2 linked regions of the Canis lupus familiaris genome follow. The protein of the gene in region 1 interacts with the protein of each later gene in a pairwise test. Links are inferred from orthologs where the notes say so. Each region holds a gene or a part of one and is shown in the gene's direction. Other genes may lie near its edges.

Evidence for each region. The genes of interacting proteins can lie anywhere in the genome.
Region 2: the proteins of PGBD1 (region 1) and SCAND1 interact in binary tests that used the Homo sapiens proteins (3 or more experiments, as listed by UniProt). The two-hybrid records come from large-scale screens. The link is inferred for Canis lupus familiaris from reciprocal best matches to the Homo sapiens genes PGBD1 and SCAND1.

What each region holds. Positions count from the first base shown.
Region 1 is NC_049256.1:26,902,300-26,906,548, forward strand, and holds the start of PGBD1 (piggyBac transposable element-derived protein 1), read left to right. Parts: upstream 1-1,442; 5' UTR 1,443-3,445; intron 3,446-4,249.
Region 2 is NC_049245.1:25,383,606-25,386,743, reverse strand, and holds SCAND1 (SCAN domain-containing protein 1), read left to right. Parts: upstream 1-1,388; 5' UTR 1,389-1,443; coding exon of another isoform or gene 1,444-1,491; 5' UTR 1,492-1,545; exon of another isoform or gene 1,546-1,636; 5' UTR 1,637-1,707; coding exon 1,708-2,247; 3' UTR 2,248-2,499; downstream 2,500-3,138. Other genes in the region: CNBD2 (cyclic nucleotide-binding domain-containing protein 2), read right to left, coding at 1,165-1,320, 1,444-1,491. UniProt on the Homo sapiens protein: May regulate transcriptional activity.

The sequences.
Region 1 (4,249 bases):
GACCCGGGATCGAATCCCACGTCGGGCTCCCGGTGCATGGAGCCTGCTTCTCCCTCTGCCTATGTCTCTGCCTCTCTCTCTCTGTGTGTGTGACTATCATTAAAAAAAATAAAAAAAAAAAATACTGTTTCCTGGAGGAGGACCAAATCTGTAGAGGCAGAGCAACTTTTTGAGACACTAAAGAATTTCATGGAACAGTCATATTCCATTCCTTACGGGGTCATAAAGCTGTGTTTCTTTTATTCTGCCTTGATGGATAAAATTAAGTTGGTATTGAAGATTTTCCCCCAAGTGTTTTGATGGCTGTGCTGAAGTCAGTACCTATCATTCAGCTCTGAGTCATAGTTTAAATCTGTTTGATTCTGTTCCATTTAAGAAGGAAAGAACAGAATGTCTTTATTTTTCTCATGAAAAATAAATGACAATGACAAGAGTCAAAGCATGAAGAATGACATACCCTTCAATAACTGGAAAATTTAGCTTTCTTTGTGATGATTCTATAGTACACACATTATAAGTGTTCTAAATTCATGGACACCTTAACTAGCCTACTCCCTCTCACAGTCCCAAAGGAAATTGTCTTCTCATCGGTGCCCTGGGGGCGCACTCATAACCACTTGAACATATATGTTGGATACAGGAATATTTTAAATTTTTTTTGAGAGAGCATGGGGGCAGGGAGGGGTAAAGGGAGAGGGGGAAGAGAATCTCAAGCAGGCCCCACACCCAGCGCAGAGCCCAACTCAGGGTTGGATTCCAGAACCCTGAGATCATCACCTGAGCCAAAACTAGGAGCCAGGCTCTTAACCGACAGCCAACCAGGCACCCCTGGATATAGGTATATTTTGATAATGTGCTTTTCTTCTCTATTTCTCAAAGATTATAGAAACATTGAACAAAGGGCAAATGTTATAACAGATCTTGAAGGTTTTGCTTGCAATGCAACACTTGTTAGGTGCCCTAAAAGGAAAGCTGTAAGTCTATTCAGAGGATAGCAGCCCAGAAAGGATGAGCTGTATTGTGAAGTATCTTCTACTGATCAGCTTTTCTGTTGGGATAGTATCCTGTAATGTTCAAAAAAGAACATTTCCTGCTCACTCCTGTTTAAAAAACTGATACAGTTATTAGTAAATGTGCCGTTAATTCATGTAGTATGGAGAAACAGGAAAGGAAAAAATAAAGCATCCTAATTTTCACCTGTCAAAAATAATCATTGTTTAGTGTATGTATGTATATGCATGTATATACATGCATGTATGCATGTATACATTCGTGCATACATGTATATATATGACAATCAAATGAATCGTGATTAGTACTGATAATTTCTGCTTAATTTTAATATATAATTGCCCATTATATTTATTATAGAAATTCATATACTTTGTAAAGACCTGAAAACATGTAAAAAAAAAAAACTAAATCATCCTGCTGCGTGGTCTAGACATAATCTCTTAATGTATTCTGAGATACTGATCTTTTTTATGCATAGAAACACTTCACTTTTCTCACTGGACTTCATATCATTAACAGTTTTGATTTGTAAAAGAAAAGGACAATTTGCCTGTCTGCCCAAGTCCATTCTATCATTTCTGCCACGATCCTGAGTGGGCAGCTTGCCATGTGACCCTTCTCTGACCACTGAGCATTAGACCAGGGTGGGGGACCTCTTAGCCAGGCTTGGTCATTTGGATACCCCCAGAAGTTTCATACTGGATCACAGATTCTGTTTGGTCTTCGTTAGGCATTTGAACAAGAAACTAATCTAGAGCTGGAACCATTTTTGTGGTCTTATGAAAACCAAATAGAAACAAACCAGCCCAGTGAGAAGTAAAAGAATGAAGACTCAGAGACTCTGGAGAAGTGACTCTGACCCTCCTCTCCTGAGGTCCACTATATTCCCAGTGGGTCCTGGGAGTCCAAGAAATGCCCTTGTTTCCTTGCCAGCAAATAAAAGAAAGCCCTGATTAAGACACCAGATAACTAAAAGTCTTCATTGAAGACAATTTCTAAGAAAGGTCGCTCAACATTCTGTGGTACATGTTCCTACCATTAGTCATTTTAGTTTATAGTTTGTCACCATAAACAGTATTTCAGTGAACATCCTTGGACATACAGCTTTGCTCACTTTGTAGAATTTTCCTTCATTCAATTCCTGTGACTAAAATTAATGAGACAAAGAGGTAGGCACATTTTTCTAAGGCTTTTTGATTCATTTTCCAGATTGCCCTCCAGGATGGTTATACTAATCTGTACCTTCTGTTAGTCTGAAAATGCCCATTTTTCCATGCCTACATCAAACCTGGGAATTATCCTTTTGCATATATGACATTCTGGTGGATACAAAATAAGTATTTTAAGCGGTTTTTAAAGAATATTTTTGCTGTCAGCGTTGGTCTCTTGGATGTTAATTGGTCATTTATAATTCTGATTTTGTGAACAGCCATACTTACATTTTTTTCTGGATTTTTCTCTTAGATTCTTCTGCTTTTAAACAGCACTGCCCTTCAAAATAGGGGTTCTGTATATAAAATTTTAAACGCACATGCTCTTTGACAGATCAATTCTAATGTGTAGTAGTTAACCTGGAGTTATAAGAGCATGTAAAGCTATTAAATGTTCTCTGCAGCATTACTTAGTGTATGTGTATATATATATGTGCGCATATACACATATATATGTGTACACGTGTACTATAAAACAGTAGGATAGTTGAGTAAACTGTGGTGCATCCATACAATGGAAAACTATTAGGCTGTTAAATAAATTCGTATGGAAAGATCTCCAAGGTAACAGAAAAGGCTGAGATGCAAATTCATGTTGTGATCCCATAAACGTTCAGTAAACAAACGTTGATTGATTGGGTGCTACTACGTGGCTGATAGTGTGCTGGGAAACCCATACACGATATTAACAATGGTTAACTTTAGGGATGGGGCATTCTTCATTTATGGTCTCTATGCAAATTGAATTTTTATTGGGAATAGTATCACCTGCATATTTAAATTTTAGGAATTTGTGCTGCTTGCCATATTGTACTTGTTCCTTCATCGTCTAACCAGAAGCCCGAGAGGAGCCTCACAAAAGGGTCTCGGCTTTGCCATCCCGTTGCTGATGGAAAGGGCCCACGGAGACGAGCGGCGCGCTCTGGGCTTCGCGCCGCGCCTGCGCGGGGTGGTGGCGGCGGGATCCTAGAGAGGCGGGACCGCGTTCCTACAAAAGCCCCGCTCGGCTGCCGGCGGGTCGGGCTCTGCGGCTTCGGGAGCCTGTGCGGTCGGGAGAGCCGCGTCTTTGCTGAGCAACATCCTTGAGCTGTTTCCTCCGCTGAAGAGCAGGAGGACGTGCTGGTATCCGGCGCCTGCGGGGTGCCTCGGGGTGCCTCGGGGTGCCTCGGGGGCGCAGGTGCCCCTCGGTGACTCGGACGGCCCTGCTGCCTGGACGCCAGGTGGGGGCGGGCTCGCTGGGGCTGTGGGGACGGGGCCTCTGCCCCCGGGGTGGGCACGGGGAGGGGGGGGCGGCGAGAGCCGGAGAAGGACCCGGTGGGCGCTGAGGGTCGGGCTCGCTCTCCCACGAATAGTCTGGAGCACAAAGGAGTTTCCTTCGTCCGGACAGGAGTTGTAGGATGGCGTATGCACCGTGACTTGGGAAATGTGCCTCCCTAGAAGGGCAGTCCTGGCCGTGGAGGACGAGGTGGCTAGGAAAAGCCCGAGCAGTCAGCGGTGACTTGAGTTTGCGAAGACCATGGCTTTCCAGGAGGTAGAGGCTGTGTCTTTTATTCCGGGATTAGCGTTTTGCCAGGAAAATAATGACGTGCTCAAATGTTCACCGAATGGCAGACAAACCAGTAAAAACCAGTAAAAACCCGGCGAAGGTCAGGACATTATTGTAGTCGTGAATGTAAGTAAAGGTAATAGGAGAATGAAAGGGGAGGGGATGGCAGCACCAGGTGCTTCCGAGGAAGGATCGGCTGGACTCAATGTGTAGAGACTGGTTTTCAGCCTGGGGCGATGGTGGTGATGCCAATGGAATGGGGAGAGCAGTGAGGACAGCTTTGAGGGACTTGGATTTCAGTTTGGGATGTGTTGAAATTATGACCAGGAGAAGCTGGAAACTGGAAGGCATCCTACTGGCATTTTAAGATCTGAGTCAGGAATGTAAAGGTTAGCTGGAGTCAGCCAGATTTGAGTGTTCTTGGAATAGAGATACGCTGAAATTGTGATTAATGAGAACACAAAAGGAGATAGTAAGG
Region 2 (3,138 bases), on another chromosome or scaffold:
TGGGTCTTAGCTTCCCTATCTACCAATGGCAGTATAAAGCATAATTGTGAGTCAGCTGTCAAGAGGTACGAGGTTTCATCTGTATCATCTCGCTGAACTCTCCTAACTTCTGAGGTAAATTGTATTATCTCCACATTTTACAGCTCTAAAAAAAAAACCTGCCACTCAGAGATAGCAGTTTATCGAATGAAGACAACAGCAAACATATTTTTAAAAAAAACCCTTTCCTTCAAAGGGCTTTACTGCTTTAATCCTCTCAACAAGTCTGGCCTAAGGCAAATAAACCCTGAAATGGGGAGTCCACCAAGGCAGCCTGACTCCAAAGCGGTAGCACCGTGTTGCTTAACAGGAACATAATGCAAACCATACATATAAATTTTTCTAGTAGCCACACTTGAAAAGTAAAATGACACAGGTTAGGGATCCCTGGATGGCTCAGCGGTTTAGCGCCTGCCTTTGGCCCAGGGCCCGATCCTGGAGTCTCAGGATCGAGTCCCACGTCAGGCTCCTGGCATGGAGCCTGCTTCTCCCTCCTCCTGTGTCTCTGCCCCTCTCTCTCTTTCTCTCTCTCTCTCTATCATAAATAAATAAATCTTTAAAAAAAAATGACACAGGTTAATTTTAATAATAGACTTTATTTGACCCGACACATGTAAAATATTACCAATCTAACATGTAATCAATATAAAAGACATTGAGATCTATTACCGGCTGTACCAAAGCTTGGGTATATTTTACATTACAGCACATCCCCATTCCGACTAGCCACATTTCAAAGGACTCAGTAAGCCCACGGAGCTAGCGGCCGCCATACGGCACAGGGCATTTAGAGTCTAATTTTAATGTTAAAAGCAGAACCCAAAGAGGCACCTGTCCCTTGGTTTCAAAGGACGCGGCCCAAATAACAATGGCACACAGCTGTTGAGCATATACTTTGTGCCATGGGAGAGGCGAGTCTTACTGTGTCTGTTGAGGACCTTCACACGTTAGATTTTGTCATTCTCGAAACGAGGCGAGTGCCCCTGCTTATCTCCTTTGACAGAAAGAGGACTTCCCCGGAGCCCGACCTCGTCCCGCCGTCCCGCCCCAGCGAAGCCGTGGCTCGCCACCGTCCCAGTCAGGGGCCAGGAAGGAGGCGCGCACGCAGCGGGACGTGCAGATCACCTGCGGCCCGGAGCGGGCAAAGTGGGCGAAGACCCCTCGGCGCTCCTTCTCCTCCAGCTCTTCTTCCTGCTCCTCTTCCTCCTCTTCTTCTTCCTCACCCTCCTCGGACTCGGACTCGGACTCCGATTCCTCGAACCGGTCCTGGAAGGGAGCATACTGAAGAGGAGCCCAGGGCTCGCTTAGATAGGCCCGCCCCCGCCCCCGCCCCCGCCCCCGCCCCCGCGCCCCGGCCACAGCCGCCCCCTGACGCGGCTCGCTAACGCGAGGGGGCGCCGCTACCGGGAGCGGGCATTCGGCTTCCGGGCGCTCTGGCGCCGAGCTCATCATAGAAGCTAATGGAGACTTCCGCTTCCGGCGCGCTCAGGCCCTGTCCCGGTGCAGGTAAGCTTGGTCTGCTGTCGGCCCGCCCCCGTCCGCCGCCCGGGAGGCCCCGCGGGCTCTGCCCTAACGCGCTGAACGCCTCCCTCCTCAGCCGGCCCGTGCGCAGACGCAGTGCTGAGCCCACAGCTGCGGGACAAAGAGTGACGTCCAGAGCTTGGAGTCATGGCGGCGACGGAGCCGAGCTTGGCGGCTGCTGGGGGCCTCGCGCTACCGCCAGAGAAGGAGGAAGGAGCCGGCCTGGGTTCAGGCTCGGAGCGTAATTCTGCGGGCTCCTCGTCGACCGTTAAGGCCGCACCACCTGCCCCCGAATCCTCCAGTGCCAACGCCGCAGCCACCGAAGCAATTCGTACGCCCCCTGCGGCGGCCTCCGCGCCCTTGGAGCTGCCCGTGGGGCCCCCAGCCCTGAGCTCCCCGCCGCTTGCCGAAGCCGCTCCGCGCTCCCCCCCACACTCTGGCGGCTCCCGACCCGGCCCGGAGACATTCCGCCAGCGTTTCCGGCAGTTCCGCTACCAGGACGCCGCAGGTCCGCGGGAGGCGTTCCGGCAGCTGCGGGAGCTCTCCCGCCAGTGGCTGCGACCCGACATCCGCACGAAGGAGCAGATCGTGGAGATGCTGGTGCAGGAGCAGCTGCTGGCCATCCTGCCTGAGGCGGCGCGGGCCCGGCGGCTTCGCCGCCGCACCGATGTGCGCATCACGGGCTGAGCTGCGCAGCTGCGGGCGGCGGGGCCCCGGCGTTCTCTGAGCTGGGGCCACGATCGGGTCCAGGGGCCTGAGCCAGGCTCTCCGTTGTTGATGAAAAATGAGTTTTTGGCAGCTCCAGCGTCTGATGTGCCCCTTTTCGTTCGTCCCTTACTAGGTGTATTTTCCCGAGCCTTTTCCCTTCCAATCTCCTTTTTGGCTGGTGGCAAAACCCGCGTTGGGACCCATGAGAATAAAGCCTTTGTTTCCTGTTCACTTGGCATTTGTTGGCTTTTGTGGGATCATTTACGTGTTGGCTAGGCCTGGGCCTCCACGTCTGGAAAATTTTCTCCTGCTCCCTCCCACAGGACCCACTTGGGATTCCTTTGTTTAGTTGGGAGTCTACGTAAAGGACTTTAGCAGGCTGGGTTCCTACCTTTTTTTTTTGCCCCTACCTTTCACTAGAATGTGAATTTGTCCCCCCTCCGTAAAAGATAGTGGATATGGTTGTGGCAGGGAGAAAGCGGACTCCACTTAAAGTGCTTAACTGGCTACCTCTATACAGGTTGGGCCACCAACTTGTTACACGGGCCTGCCTTTGGGCACAGGCTTCCCAAAAGACCCATGCCATAGGGCTATTTTAGGAAGTCTTTTAGTGCAGGCCTTTACAGATAGCTCTTTCTGAGCTCTGGTTTAAACCCCAAACTCCCCTTTCTTGTCATATTTTAGGCCCCTAGGATTTAAGTAGAGCCAGTGTGAACTAACGGATTTTTACATTGCTAGAGCTACTCTTGTTTAGAAAGAGAAGGAATCTGGCAAGTAATAGGGTATCTCTGCTATTAAATTTTAAAGTCTACTTTTCCTTAATTCTTTTGCCTACCCAGGAAGGAACTAGTTGGGGTCCATAGGCAGTTT